Schizosaccharomyces pombe: one gene and its partner. Changing the gene in region 2 together with the main gene of any one other region gives a genetic interaction. Each region holds a gene or a part of one and is shown on either strand. Other genes may lie near its edges. The genes, in order: rga3 and xrc4.

Evidence for each region.
Region 1: mutations in xrc4 (region 2) and rga3 together harm fitness more than expected from each alone (negative genetic interaction), as found in Schizosaccharomyces pombe (one large-scale study listed by BioGRID).

Annotation. Positions count from the first base shown.
Region 1 is NC_003424.3:5,122,280-5,132,295, reverse strand, and holds rga3 (Rho-type GTPase-activating protein Rga3), read left to right. Parts: upstream 1-3,262; 5' UTR 3,263-3,457; coding exon 3,458-6,367; 3' UTR 6,368-7,063; coding exon of another isoform or gene 7,064-7,516; 3' UTR 7,517-7,682; coding exon of another isoform or gene 7,683-7,904; 3' UTR 7,905-8,968; downstream 8,969-10,016. Other genes in the region: rRNA exonuclease Rrp17, read left to right, coding at 1-56; RNA polymerase I upstream activation factor complex subunit Rrn5, read left to right, coding at 571-2,241; protein mug108, read right to left, coding at 7,064-7,516; SPOM_SPAC29A4.22 (uncharacterized protein), read right to left, coding at 7,683-7,904. UniProt on the Schizosaccharomyces pombe protein: GTPase-activating protein for Rho-type proteins.
Region 2 is NC_003424.3:3,277,187-3,283,117, reverse strand, and holds xrc4 (protein Xrc4), read left to right. Parts: upstream 1-3,078; 5' UTR 3,079-3,132; coding exon 3,133-3,253; exon of another isoform or gene 3,254-3,298; coding exon 3,299-3,435; exon of another isoform or gene 3,436-3,578; coding exon 3,579-3,698; exon of another isoform or gene 3,699-3,750; coding exon 3,751-4,167; 3' UTR 4,168-4,281; downstream 4,282-5,931. Other genes in the region: SPOM_SPAPB1E7.01C (uncharacterized protein), read left to right, coding at 413-904; SPOM_SPAC652.01 (BC10 family protein ), read right to left, coding at 1,315-1,534, 1,604-1,710; protein Ebp1, read left to right, coding at 4,971-5,931. UniProt on the Schizosaccharomyces pombe protein: Involved in double-strand break repair via non-homologous end joining (NHEJ); the repair of a double-strand break in DNA in which the two broken ends are rejoined with little or no sequence complementarity.

The DNA of each region.
Region 1 (10,016 bases), 1.8 Mb from region 2:
CACAGGACAGAAGAAAAGAAAAAATACGTCGTTTAAAGAAGAAAATAAGACGTTAAATTAGGAACTTCAAGCACACGTTGTTTGACGCATCTTGCCCTTTTTTTATATTTATGAATATGGTTGGTATAAAATGATATTTGAATTCAATTGTCCATTCGTTTTTCAGGTTGAGAATTTTTGGAAGTTAACAAACTACTTTACAAGAGATCATTACATATACGGAGTTTTTCTTGGTCTGATATATGCATTTCAGCCTTTTTCAATTTTTTGTTCACAGTTTTGATTAAGGTGTTTGTACATGCGCAAAAAATTTGTACTCAATAAGCGGTAAGCTAGATTTTAGCACGATTTATATTTTTTTATTATGTTTAAAACCCGTAAATTTTAGAGATACTCTACATTTATATATTCCTTTGGATTTTAGTATATTAGCGAAATTCACTAGAATACCGAGTTTGATCTTTGTCAGAACACAAACCACGTCTGGTAATGTGGTAAACAAAAAAATATTAAAAAGAAGACTGCAACAGCTTTTATTTCATTAGCGTTGATCATGTTCTCAATAATAACATGTCTTCTTCAATAAACGGATTAAATGAGAGTGAAGGGTCAACGCCTTTAAGCACTGCATCTATCATTGGCTCAAGTGAGCAATTGTACATGACTCATGATGAACGATACCTAGACGTCCTTCAACAATACGAAGTTGAGACTGAAAATAAGCGTGACTTTGATTTGGAAGAAGAACAATGGGGCGTTCTTAGTGGCTCTTGTGTGGATGGAACTTACTGGAGTGCAGAAGAAAAAGAACTGTTTTTTCAAGCGGTTGCTCGAAATGGGAAAAGAGATTTAGATTTGATAGCTTACTCCATTCCTTCTAAAAGCGCTGTGCAGATCGAGCGTTACATAAATGCCTTAGAGAATGAGCTACGTTGGCTTCGTAATCACGTAGACGCATCCGTGCGCAGTCAATGTTTGTTGAAATATGAAGATATACCTATTGCAATGGAAATGAGTCAGAATTGGATTGATTGGGAAGAAAAAATTGCGGAAAGACTTCTTGAGGGTTCGAATATCTCAGGGGTTGAAACTTCACACTATAATGCGCAAAGTGTCAAAAACAAAACCTCAAATGAGGATTTATTTGATACAAATGAGATGAGAAAGATTTCTGAACGGTTTTATCATTTCGATCGACAAGCGCCTTTTCCAAGCAATCCACTTTCTGCTGGCGCTACGGAGTTTTTATTACAAATCATTAAAAGCAAGTTGAAGGAATTAATCGGAACATCTATATTTTTGGCGGAGTCTAGGTTTAGGAAACTAGAGGCTAACAATGCCTTTCATAGAAAACCTATTATCAAGAATAGAGACGTTGTTCTGTCAGGCAAATTTTTACGATTTCACCGATTCAATATACCCGGATTTTGGAAGTATTTACCCACTAGACAAAAGATGAATGTTTACAAAAGAAACAAACGTCTCAAATTTCAAAATTATATACACATAATGGAATCTGATGAAAGACAATCAAAACTGAAATTAGGACGAGTCAGAGCACGGAAGACAAAAAATAACGAAAACACCATGTTTTTTGATTCTAAGGAACATTCGACAGATGAAAGCGATGGTAACCTTGGAGAACATGATGTAAAGCGCAAGGTAGATTCTGTACCCGCCGATGAGACTAGCATCAATGGTTTTAAGAAATCTGTTAATCAGGCTGAGTATCCTGATAATGCTCAAATGTTCATGGATGAAAGTGTCGCAGAAGAAAGTCTTGTGGAAATTGATGACAGCGTCGAAGCCTACGACATGATTCAATCCAAAAACTACGAAAGCTTTGTTTGGAAATATGTGCTGCATTTAACCGATGAGATGTCGACAGAGGACGCTCTTTTTGAAACTATACCACTTAGTAATTTGCTGGCTCAAAAGCGAATGAAAGACAAGTTAAAAGGTTCCGACGTGTTTACGACTCTTAAAATAACTTCCAAGAGCTTGCACAACATTGACGAACATTCCGATAGTGATGATGAAGTTCAACCTATATGTTATTATTACAAGGATCCAGTTGTTTCCCATGCCCCGGGTGCAGCTGAAGTCGTATCTGAACTTGAAAGCGGATATGTAGGGTTAATATCCTATGATTTGTCTAATCTTCCAAATAGTACAGAAGATCCTGAAAGGAAACTTGCAAAACCTGTCTCTTCTTGGGAGTTGTCACTCCCTTTAAAATAGATGTCTTCATTTTCGAACTACAGTCTTGAAGCCTTTACAAAAACATAAATTGTTTTTTAGCGCTGCCTCTGTGTTGGATAGCAATCCTTTCTTTTTATCGTCATTTTCTGCCAAGTTTGTTTTTTCCTAGAAAGAAAATTTAATACTTCCTCTTTATAGCAATCAGTTATTGCCATTTATAATGATGAGTCCCAGTGTTCACAATATTCTGAAACTTTTTTTGTTAAAAACTGATTGCTTTCTTCCGTATAATTGTCCCAATATTCGCACCACAACTATAAAAATTTTTTTTAGGAGCCTTTACTTCCTTCTTAAAAGCAATAGTTACTTAATCAATTATAGCGACCCCGCTATTTGAGATACACATTTTATAAATTCTACACTTTTTGGAAACGAGCATTTTCTCTTGTCCCTTTATTTGACGATCCGACCGTTCACGCTACAAACGTCTACAAAATTTTTTTCTCTAGAAAGCATCTCTCCTTCTGTTTACTCCTGTTGCTACCGAAATTTTTTCTTTTTTTTTGTCCTCTGTGTTTTTTGATCAGGAATGTATATATCTTTAACCATTTTTTAGCGGGTTTTTTCTAAAGGTAAAGCTATTTAAGCCAGAAAAACAGTTCATTTTCCTTTTTCCTTCTAATTTCGGCAATTTCCCTTTTCACAAATATCACCATTTTTGAGTGGAAAGAAAAGCCTAGAGAGCGGAAACGCTGCCAAACCCATTAAAATTAATTATCTGTAATATTATAATCGTATTTAATAGCTATTCATAACACCCGTTTCGTCTAAACTCCCGTAATAAACCATGTGACTTTTGGCAATTTTACGCACCATATCGTAGAACACGGCGATAATTTCCATAGTGTTTCGCTAGGCTAGGGCAAGGCAAGCCAAAGACCATAGTGCCATGTGTACGACGCATGCAAATTTTAAGGGATTAGAGTGAACGACTCGCTACTGCCGTTCTCACCGCTCCACTGGGCAATGATGCCAACAACTGCAGTAATAATTATTCCTTAGCCATTTACCAATTGTTTCGAACTTCAATCATAAAATTGGGAATATTTTCATTTACTTGATGGGAAGCTGAGGAATGAAAATAGGTACCCAAAGGAATCGTTGTGAAAATAAAAATCAACAAAGCCAAATTCATGACGCTAGATTGAAGTTCATAACGTTTAGCAGGAAATAAGAAGAGCATATATACGATAAGATGATATTTCGAAAAAGTATTTCCAAATCTCCATCAAGCAAGGGAAGCACAGTATGCTTTCGCTGCGGACAGGCATTTCAACGTAGAGAGACACCTATTTCGTTTGGGGGTCATATGTGGCATAAGGATTGCTTCTGCTGTACGAAGTGCGATAAAGGATTGGAGCACAGTGATCAAATGCTGGTGCAAACCTCTGATGGACGACCGGTGTGTAGCTCTTGCGCCCATACCTGTACAGCGTGTCGTATGAGGATCAAGGACTATGCCCTAATGTCAGGCTACGACTCCTATCACAGAGAGTGTTTTCGTTGCCATGATTGCCGAAAGCAAATAATTGACTCTAACTTTAAAAGAGATAATAGGACTATATTTTGTAATGATTGTAAACAAGTCCGTCACCCTTCCAGGTCTTCAGACGAGAGCGCTGATTATCACAATTTTGAGGTTGATGTCACGATTAAGCCCACAGAGACAAAGTCTTCAGTGGAATCTAATAAGTCTTTAAGCATTGAAATTATGTCTCCTCAAAAGCCACCATTATCACCTTTTGGTGGAAGCAGAGACCGCTTAGTTAGCGAAACACCGACTAACATGAGTCAGGCAGAAGGGGGTAATGTGCCGAACGATGGACAGGATAGTAATCTTGCGTCTAATTCTGCAGATTCGCTGCTGCCTAGTGCCAAAAATCGAAGTTTTTCCTCGTTTACGAGTTTTGAATCGCCGATGAAGTATGACGATTCTTTCTTTCCTATTTCACCTTCTATATCTCCGTTACAAAAAGTTAACAAGCAGCAACAAATTGAGTCTCCTACAGCCACATTTCCGTTAAGCAAAAATACTTGGAAGAATCGATTCCATACGTTTCACAAACAATCTTTTACTCCTGTTAACGATAGCTCTTCCTCGGACAGCTTAAAACCCACAATTAATGAGGAAGCCCTGGACGACTTTGCTGGCTCTGCTTCTCCTTATAAAACCATGTCATTGACTGACCGAGCAGAGCCAATTGTCATGAATGGACATATGCGTTCTCTTCACAATGCCACCTCTCCCTTTCGGCCTTTTTCTCCCTCTTACAGGTCGAGTGATACGCATTCACCGAGAACCCGCTCACCGAATGTCCAAACCCATAAAAAAACCTCTTCTCAGCCATCTGACCTTTCATCTTTTGCGCAGCTACTTTCACCGCCTCAGGTTCTTTCTCCCAAACCAAATGGCGGGGGCCATAAAAGTTTTCGGCATTCGCATTCTCTTTCTGAGACTTCTCAGCAAACACTCGTTCCTTCGCTGGGATCTAATGGAGAGTACCATTTACCGACAAACGATCATTCTTCAACTCCAGCACAATCAGAGCGAGATTCGGATGTTGAAGAATTGCGTGAACAGTTGGAAAATCTTACTGCTCTTACCAAAAAATTGTCCGAAAGGCTCTCAAGTTCTACGTTTGACAACTCTAAGTTTATTCGTACGGAAGATAAGGATACTGTTCGTTCGGCTAAACTTGAAATTTGTGAAAAGTTTTTTTCGTTTGCTGATGTGACAGATGATCCCACGCTGAAAGATCCGAAACATCAGGATTTGGTGGCTGCCGCCAATGCTTACATGGCAATGCTTCGTGAGAGTTACGGCACTGAAATAAACAATCTTTTGGAAAGGAGAAATGAGCTGCTTGACGATTACAATAATGTACAAAAAATTTTAAATGAATCGCTTGAAGCATCTGTACACCTAAATACCAAAAATCTCGAGTTGGCCGACTTAAACAACAATTTGGTAAAACAAATTCAGCATAGAGTACCTCCTGAAAACCAATCCAATTTGGAGCATACTATTACCACATCTTCCAAAAATACAACCAGCAGTATTAATCCACTTACTGCCGTGAGTAGCAACTCTGGGCAGTCATCAGGTCGACCTGGTCCGTTGTCACCAAATTTGAATGTGACTACGAGAATTGACATTAAGGGAAAAAAGGGAAGTATGCATTTGCAACCAAGAGATGTAAACCGTAAAGTCCCGTTCAAATCAATGCATACTAAATCAAAGTCTGCCGATCCTGTAGTAGGAAATGAAGATCGTACTCAATGTGACCATGTGTTTCATGTTAATGCCATATTCAAGCCCTCAAGGTGTTATATATGCTCGGAGAGCGTATGGGGATCTGAACTCCGCTGCTTTCATTGCTCAATTTCATGCCATTCGCGGTGTTTAAAAAGGCTGTTTGCAGAGTCGGAGCATGAGAAAACAATGAGTGAAACTGTAAGTGAAAATAGTAAATGGATGCCGGAAATGCCAACGAGGATGCCTCCTCCTGGGCCTTCACCAACGATGTTTGGACGATCGTTAGAAAATCAATTGAAAATTGAAGGGTCGGTTTTGCCTCAAGTAATTGCTATGTGCGTTTCTTGCGTGGATGCGCATGGATTGGAGGTTGAAGGTATTTATAGGATATCTGGCAGTGCTTCTCAGGTCCGAGTGTTAGTCGACGAATTTGAAAACGGGTCTATCCGAATGGAGCATTTGACTTCTGACTTGTTTGCCTGTACGTCGGTTTTGAAAACATATTTGCATCGCTTACCGGAACCAGTTATACCTGGCACTCAATACGAGGAGTTGTTGGAAGCGGAAAAAATCGAAAAGGAAGAGGAAAAAATTGAACGGGTAGTGGAAGTAATGAAAACGCTTCATCCTGCACATTTGAGCGTATTTCGATTTTTGATTGCACATTTGGGTCGTGTATGCAAGCACGCGGAGAAAAATTTGATGAACTCGAAAAATGTCTCTACAGTATTTGCACCTACTTTAATGCGAGATAAGGTGAATCGGTTTGATTTACAGCATGCTACCAAAAAGAGTACGGCTCTTCAGTTTATGCTTGATAACGTGGATAAGATTCTTCATAATCTGTAGCTTGTTTTATGAATAATGATTAAAATATCGGGGAACTTGTATTTTTCTAGGGAAGAAGGAACTTTACGATAATAATAACCACTTGTGTTCCAAACTTCAATAAGGAATACTTTTCGAAGAAATAATGAGACTTTTTTTACACCTCTTTTTTTTAATGAAAAAAGGAAAACAAAGATATTAGCATAACACTCTTACATTTACGACTGAACTATTCAAACTGGGTAATACAGGATGTACATTATGACAAGCAGGCAAGCACACGCACGCTCATCAGATACAAATAAATACGCACGCAAATGGAGATTGTATAAAGATATTTGCCATTAAGCATTGCGAGATGCAAAATAAGGAAAATATAATGCTAATTTGATAAAAAAAAAAGAAAACAAACTCTTTTTAACGATACTAAACAGAACTCAACTCGATTTGGTTCGAGTATTTCGTTTCTCATAACTTGAACATAAACACAACATAAACAACTCATCAAAGACACATACATACACAAACACTACGGTCGTGCCATCATGTCTCGAAATCTCAAAGAATGGTATGGGGAACATGGTGAGGGATGAATGGCAGTGAACGTGAAAGGGGATGGATGGCATAATTAAATGTAATCTGCAACATTGTCAGTCAGGGTATGACTAATCAAAAAATAAAAATTACAAGGGAGTAAGAAAAAAAAAACAAAAGCAATCAAATAGTACTACCTAAAAGGCTTATATCCCTATCAAGATAAGGATCGTTTTGCTCTTCCTCATCAAGTTGTTCCTCGTTATTGTTTGCATTTTTCTTTTGTGTTCCATTAGCGCTCTTGGAGCGTGATTTCTTTCCTCCAAAGATGCTGCCAAGACCGCCAAGAGACGAGAAATTAACACGGCCAGTATGTTGACTGGAACGGTTGCGAGTAGACTCGGACCTGGAGTCATCGTCGCCGATATCTTCCTGAGTGGCATGGTAGCTGGAGCTCTCCATGTCATCCTCCTCTTCCTGGACCAAAGGTCCGGCCTCTGGATATTCATTCATGTATTCGTTGAATGAATGAACGCCCATCGAAGGATGGCGTTGTCTACCGGAGAAGGAGTGTTTGTCAACATGATGACCATGGGTTTCTTGAGTTTGATCACTAGAAGTAAAACGATTTGCCATTGCGGTGGATTTGAAGAAATTCGATTAGTCAATTAGTATTGGATGAAATTCAATTTCAAATTGATTTGGATTTGGATTGGATTGGACTGTCAATAACAATTTTCAACTCAATTGGTTATTGTTTGTTTTGTTATTGTTGTTGTTAGATTGTCAGTGGGTGGGTAATTTAGCTTGACTCGCTGATGATCAATAAGGGTGGATATGAATACGATTCGGTATTTGTTATTACGAAGGATGAAATATATATGTACTGTATTTTGGGAATGGAATTTTCACTCTTAGTGCCCAACCTTCTATTTATCTCCTTGCTGTGGCCAAATGTCATACGTATTGGGTTGCTACATTGAATGTAAGTGTGCCTTACTCGTCCTTTCACCCGCAACTCCATTGTTATCCAGCATCGTCATCCACTGCAATCGTGGCGCCAACCTCTTCACTTCCACCACCCATATAGCATATTTCCGTGAGTGTGTACCTCGGCGAGATCCGTTAAGTGGGTTTACGAAACAGGCCAAGAGGAGGAGGAGGGTTTGGTGATAATGCAATGGAGCACACAAGTAAGCAGGACGAAGTATGATTGATGGATGGATGAAGGAAAAGAAGAGAAAATGGCAGGTTGGTTTAGAAGAGGCTGTTCATCCCGTGGTATCGCAGTCTCAAGTATGGCACGGAAAACAAGCGTCGTTTTAATTGTCCAGGAGAAAAACAAAAAGGAAACAAGACTTTAGAGGGTCAGTCTTTTTTTTATGTCTTTTCTATTTTTGCTTTATGTTGTTGTTTTATATTCTTTCTTTCTTTTTTCTGCCTTCTTGACAATTAATTGATTTCCGCGGCAAGCTTAGTCAGTCTATAATACGGTGTTGTGCATCAGAGATGTTATGGCATTGCGTCATGATCGACACCCTTCCTAATCCCTTTTTTCTCCGCCTTCGCTTCCCCACACTTGGAGTCACAAGGCTGAGTCGATGCTACCTGAAAAGATGGGGTAATGGCATGACGAAAAAGACTGCAGGAAGAGAGGGGTGGGTGAAAGAAAGGGATTCAAACGAGACATCAATAATGGATGGAAGAAATAAAAACATAAAAGAAAAAAGAAAAAAAAAAGAAAGAAAAAGTTAAAGAAGATGAAAATTTTTGTTTGTTTGTCTCAGAACTAAAGTTTTTTTTGCTCAATTTTCTGTTCAATTTCTTTGATTCGCATTTTGTTTTGTTCCACTTTTTCTTTTTTTTTTGTCTTTGTTCCACCATTGGTTTTCTTTATCCATCTCTGTCCATTGTTGGTAATCTTGCTTTATGATTATAGGAGTCCTTTGTTTTCTCTCTCTCTTTTTTTTTTTATTTCTTTGTATGAATTGCCTTTTTTTTGACTAGCGTTCTTTGTCATACATGTCATCTTGAAATAGATGGTTTTGATTGTTTCTTGTTTTCAATAACTTTTTTTTTTTTTTTTCTGCTCTCTTTCTCTTTTCATTTTTTTTTTGGTCAGCGTGAGATACTGGCTTTCATTGAGCTACAATAAATAGTTTTGACTTTTTATTTCTATTTCTATTTCTTCTTTATTTTCCTGCTGTCTTTCTCTTCTCGCATACACAAAAGAGACTCAAACATACACACACACATACTCGGAGAGTTTCTCTCTCTCTCTCTCTCTTTTTTTTAGAGTTTCCTTTTTGCTCACTTGTTTTTCTTTGATCGTCGTTCTTTACGACATCTTTGTATTATAACGAAAATAACCTTTATTTGGACTTTCTTTTTATTCACTGTGGATGAGCTCACTGTGTTGTTCCATGCACAAATTTGTCACTTTCCATGTGAATTTTTCGTGGGGTTGTTGTAAACATTCATGAATTCCTTCGTTTGCTTTTTTTTTAAACAATTTTTAATTTTTATTTACTGTTTCTAATGCTGACATTTATTTGCCTTTTTTATTTCATTGCAAAACATTATATATGTATTCATAGTAAAAACTGAAGTGAAAGTCTATTACAGTCATTTAAATAGATTAGCTCATCTGTATTAAAATTAATAAAAGCATTGCAATTTATATTATAAAGTATGCTTAAAGCATTGTCTCGTGAGAAAGTCCAGTAGGAATTACTTAATTGAGCAGCGCCTTTTCTACTTTACTTTGTATACTATATGTTATTGTTTTACAGTTATCAAAACTTGCTTTTCCTTTCCTGAAATAACTGAGGTCAGTAAATTTAATGCTTCCAAACATCTTCCTTTGTATCCTCTTTTCAGTACATTCATTTATGAAGAAAGTTGTAATTACTGCAGTAAAAGGTGTTTCCCAAATTACAATTCCCACACTCGTGCTTTATTTTGCTAATTCACTTAGCACTCATACTTAGAAATCGTTATTTTGAAAGTACCATTGTAGAACTTAATAACACCACTATAATGGACTATCTAAACGTTGTGTAATTTTTACATTCGTTCGTCCTATGTTCAGTAAAAAATCTTTGCATCATTGACTTGGAAAATGAAAAGCTCATCC
Region 2 (5,931 bases):
AAAGCTATGCAGAAGTTTTGTCACGATCTTGCTCCTTTCTAAATTCATTTATATAAGCATCTAGCACTTTGATTTTTTTCTCATTTTTGTATTTAATAAACACATTTCATTTTGTTTACCATATAACCTCTATGTTTATATGTCAGTATATTCGGCATATATTTCGAGTCTATTTAGAAATTGCACAGGGGTACAAAAAATTGATTCATAAGAAAAGGTGGAAACATTTTTTAAAATGACAAAGAGTCACAAAGGAATTTGTATTCTTTTCCTTTCTGAAATGAAATAAAATCTAATGTAGAAACTGCAAAGCTCAGTGCCTTAGGGTGCGTTACAGTTCGTAAAGTTGCAGACACTAAGTGCAGTACAACTTTGTAAAGTGCCAAGCTGCAAACGAAAACACAATTTTAGCATGGAACAAAAAGTGAGTGCGGATGTGTTATTGAATAAATATCAAACATCCATAAGCATCACAAAAAACTTAATCAATTCGTGGTTGGGAAACGAAAATACATCTGTCAGTAGCGATGAAAAAAATGACGATCCACCGTTACAAGCTAGGCCGCCACGGTTAGGGTTGGGTGCTAGTAGAAAAGACCAGTCAGAAAACAGCTGGGTTACTTCCAAAAATGAGAAATTGAAAAGCCTGCCACCGGCATTAAAGAAGAAGATTGAAAGACAGTTGCAGAAGAAGAAGGAAGCTGAAAAAATTGAAGGCGGCAAAAACCACGACAATTTAAAGCGAAAATTGAATAAAGTAGGCGATGAATTGAACGAGCAACAGTCTGATACTGATGATGATGATGATGATTCAAAGGCTCGCATTACTAGCCGATCGAAAAGAGCTAACGCCCAAAGTTCTGGCTTTGATATTTATAAAAAACTTGGGAAGAAAAAAAGGTGAACTTGAAAGAAAAGACATACATAAAATATTTGCATAAAAGGTTTGACTTCTGATTCATTTTGATCAAGAGATTAGCCTCAAGGAAATGGACATCCTATGAACCCATAAATAAGCAGCACTGGAGTATTTATGGCATTGCTATTGGTTGACGTGCATGAAGTTGAATCGAAATTTATTTTTCTGTGAAAAAATTTACGATCCTTAATCACATTTAGTGTTTACATTGGATGGGTCTTAATTTGGGTGCCGTGTTTACCTCTTTTCAATCAGGAGGGTTTTTTTTTTGTTTAGTCGGTATGTTAAGTAAATAAATTTTAGATAGGGACAGTTGGTAATATGAAAAGGCACACCTATTTTTTATGAATCAAGCTCAAGCGATTCAATTTTGTAGTGAAAGACTGACTGCACTATTATAATTTAATAGTGGCATCTAACCAAGGAATGTGAATGCTTTCCTTACCCGCTAGCCACCGAATCCATGAAAGTCGAACCAACCTGTAGCCGGCTTCTTTTAATTCCGTAGGGAATGCTTTTGTGTCGAAAATATTTCGATTGAATGAAAAAAAGGTTGAATCACTCCACAGAGTGCGTGTATTAATCAACAATCCCAGTATAATCATGCAATATGGACTGAAGCCTGTTAGTCAAAATCTCGTATGGAATGGACGGCTTGTTTATCAAACTGGTTGTTGAACTTACCATGGATATTTCCGAGCAATCATGGACAGCATAAAGATCGGATAGAAGAAGTATGGAGCAGCATTAGCTACTAAAAGCATTGGAATAAAATATCGTAAACATAGCATTTTGTACCAAGTTTGGTAAAGCAACAAGTTTTTGAAGGATGTAATTTTACACTATTAACGCCATTTGGTCACGTAACAATCCATTAAGACGATATGCCGTTTTGTGAAACCGAAGCGATAACTCGGAATTCAAAGATTTCGTAAGCGCTAAATATCGTTAATTAGATAAAAGTTGTAGATCCAGCGATCCTTTGGTATTGCAATGTTCAGTATTGTTTACAACTTCAGAAGCATATAAAAACTCTTTCGACTTAGATTACAATTAAGATTTCAAAACTTTTATAAATTACTGCAAGTTGATTGACGCACTGGTTGGGTTGACATTGATTGAGTGAATTGACAAGCTTCACCATCGATATCCGTCACACATACTTGGGTCATATAAAGTGTTTATTGCATATAGTATTTAAAAATTTCATTTAAAACTTCAACTGGTTCATCTTTTTACATACGCCTTGTATATCCATATTGTAAAGTCAGTTTACTAGTTGAATCAATAACGCATTCTAGTGCACTTAAAACACATTTGCTAAATAGAGAAAAAAGATTAAATATGCTGAATTTTTTGACGAGCTTGGGTTTAGATTTACTAAAAAAACAGGATTAGCTTTTCTTTAAACTCTACCATTTGATTTGTTTTTGCGGTTAATTGATTTTCAAGTCGCTTTAGGAAGAAAATATGGTTTACGGACTCAGTCTTCGCAATCAATTTTAGGTTGTTTCGGTGTATCTTATATATTTTTTTTACGATCATTAATGTTTATTCGTAAGGTTGCAATGTACCTAATAACCAGTGGTCTCTGTGCAAAGCTCTAAAGCCTTGACAGAGCATAAACCTTTACATTTATGTAAAAACCTCAGTTTTATATCTCGATGTAGTTTTGAATCTCGAAGAGAAAAAATGATATTATAAACAAGGCCTTGTTAACCAACACATATTGATGAAAGCATTTTTTTTGAAATCACCTTAGTTTAATTGACTTTAAAAAACTTTCAATAACTTGTAGTAGTCATCATCTAATTGCATTGCGAATTTCTTCTTGCTAACTACTTTAATTTGAAATTCTTTTTTTTTAACAAACATGGTATAAACATTTGCGCTGATTCTTATCCAATATTCTCGTATGGAAACCTCTTATATTATACTAAACGATTTGTTATATCACCGAATCAGCAATTTTTCAATCAGAAAGATTCTTTTCTTTCAATGAAAAAAATCTAAAAAAAAAACAATTTTCAAGATAGTGTTTCTTAGTAACCTAAAATTTTAAACTCATTCGGCTTCCAATTTATCAGCTGCGCACACTAAAACATTAGCAGTCAACAAGTTGGATTATCAAGTTTCTTATTACGTTTCCCTGCAAACTTGCACTGAGACCGCCTTGATGTTTCACATCAAATTTTGAGCTCAGGAAACAACTCATGAAATTTTTTTTATCACTGAAAGATTTTAAAGGAGAAAAATTCGTCCTACGCTCAGAATTGGATGAAAGCAGTGCTTTCTTGTGCGCAATTAGCCCAACCTGTAGATACGTCTTAAGGGGTATAGAAAGATAGTGTGTAAAACGTTCTTTTACTAATTTTCCAGATGAAATACCTTGGAAACGATTGCAACGGAACGTAACCTCAGAATCATTAACCGATGAACTTATCGTGGATCTGTTGTGCGGCAGATCCGAATCAAAGCACACATTGCAATTAGTGGTTTTAGAGAATTTATGTAGGGTATGTTTATTGCAATACTGTAGTAGTTAATGAATTGCTGATTGTGTGATGACTTTCAAACCAAGGAATTTTTTTGTTCGTCGCATCTACCCCATTTTGCCAGTCGTTTTTGAGCTGATTAATTAAATATGCTAACAATTTAGATTTATATCAACTACGTTGATCCTTTCCCTTTACGTATTGCCTGGTTTGAATTAGAACAACAAGCATTGAAAGACCATGAACATTTTGATGTACTGTGGGAGTGCAGCCATTCGATAAAGGTATGAAAAAAACTTTACATTCTTTCTCTTTTGCTGATTATTTGAAATTTAGGACCTTGCCCTTGCTAGTATGGCTCAACAAAAAAACGAGCTTCAAAAGCTTATGGCTTATACAGAGCAACTTCAAGAAGAATGTAAGTCTAGGGAACGAAAGCTTATAATGAAATTTGCAGATATGATTAAAAATGCAAGAAATAACGAGGATAATGAAGACAACCACCATATTAATTATGAGGATGAATCTGATGTCGGGACAGACGAGCAAAAGCAGCAAGAGGGAGTCAATTCTTCCGCAGTCTCTGATACTGACGAATCTGCAGTTTCTGATGAATTTATGCAGATAAAAGAAGAATTTCCAATGAAAGCATTGAGCGCTTCACCAACTGCAGACGCTTCTCCCGAGTCAGCAGGTGAAGATGATTCACATAGGCGATCGTCCCACGAAAGTAGCGAAACAGTTTCTGAGTAGCTTCGGAAGGAATGATAATATGATACATTACGCTTCAAGTTAAACTACCCGAAATGCCTCTCCATTCTTACACTTTTTTCAGTATTCAGGTCAACTTTATTCTCTTTAATTTCAAAACAATAATAAATTTACTTAAATTTAAATATTCACACGGAATCCTACTATAGGTAAAGCACTTGCAAGATAAATACAATATGTATAGTTGGTGAATTTTTATAAAGATGTCTTATAAGCCTAGCACTTCCTTCCTGTACAAAAGAATGAAGCATGTTTGCGATCGTGTTTACCATGCTATTATTTTCTGATCCACTTTTTCTTCAGCAAATTTACTATTTACATATATAATTTGTTACTCAAGGTTGGGCGCGTTCTGAAGTAACGTGTTTATTACTTGTCGACAATACGCTTCATAATTTCACCAAAATCCTATAACCAAGCCTGTTGTAATTTTATACTGGGATTTAGGCTTGAATATTCTTTTTTGACGGCATTTAGCAATTTTTGGCTTTGGATAAATGAATGCTTAGCTGTGTGGGCAAACGGGTTTTCGCTATTGGAAACGCAGTTACTAATTTGAATTTGCTAACATTCATACTGTTTTTAAATTAAATGCTGTGAAGATTTCTTTTCTTAAACTTTTCATATCTTTTCGAGTTACATGCTATCGGTAATTGCGCTAATTGACGCGAATTCTTAATATAATAGGCATTATTTGTTGTCTTCTAATCGAAATCTTTTAATTCCATAGCATATCTCTTTTTTAAGTAAATACTTTTATTTGAATAGTTTATACAGCGCATGCGATGAGCAACGACAGCAGTGATAATCAAATTCGTCGTCGGCATCATCCAGTACTGCCTAAGGGTTCCTTTCAGAAAAAGGACGATTCTATCGTCTTAGAACAGGAATTATCTACTCCAAAACAAGTCAACCAAGCCCGTCCAAAGTTTCCATCTCCAATTACTCCTACTCTTCCTGAAATGCATCTTCCCGTAGGGAATTCAAAATTCCAAGCGGTATTGCCAAGCTTGATAAGCCCTACGCTTCCTCCTGGGTTTGGAATGGCAAGCGATGACTCTGAAGCATCGTTAGCAGAGAACGATTTACATCCCTTGGATAACGATTCTACACGTACTAGCAAAACGCTTAAAAATTCATCAGAGGTTTTAACCGCTTCCAAACTTACTGATGAAGGTAATTCTAAACCTTTGTTGGAGGAAGGGGAGGTAGCTGTCAGTTCTCCAATTCTCCTTGATTCAAAAGATGTAATAATGGGAGTCACTAAGAGCTCAAAAAATCTAGTTGAAGATGCTCACAAATCAAAGAAGGCCTCCACGAACAGTTCCATAAATAATATGGTATCTACTGTAAATTCTGAAAATTCTAATGTTAATAATGGATCCTCGTTGAATGGTAACACCAGCAGCAATCTCAAGAGAAAAGCCAATGTAACGTTAGGTGATTATAAGCGCTTAAAAGTAAAAAACAAGAATCCTTCTTCCCAAGAGCTGATCACAGCTGATGTTGACAAAACATCTGGTTCACTGTCTGAAAAGTCGGAAGTAAATCATGCCTCTTTGAAGAAAACGTATATGCGTCTTCTTAACAGTGGGAAAATGCAAAAGAAAGAATGTGATAAGAAAGGAAAATTTTTCGAAGCGTACGCTGTAGATGCTGTTTTATGTTACACAGTTGCTTTTCACCTACAGAATCTTTCCAATCTTTCGAGAAACCATCCCGCTACTACGAGTAACTGGAGAACCC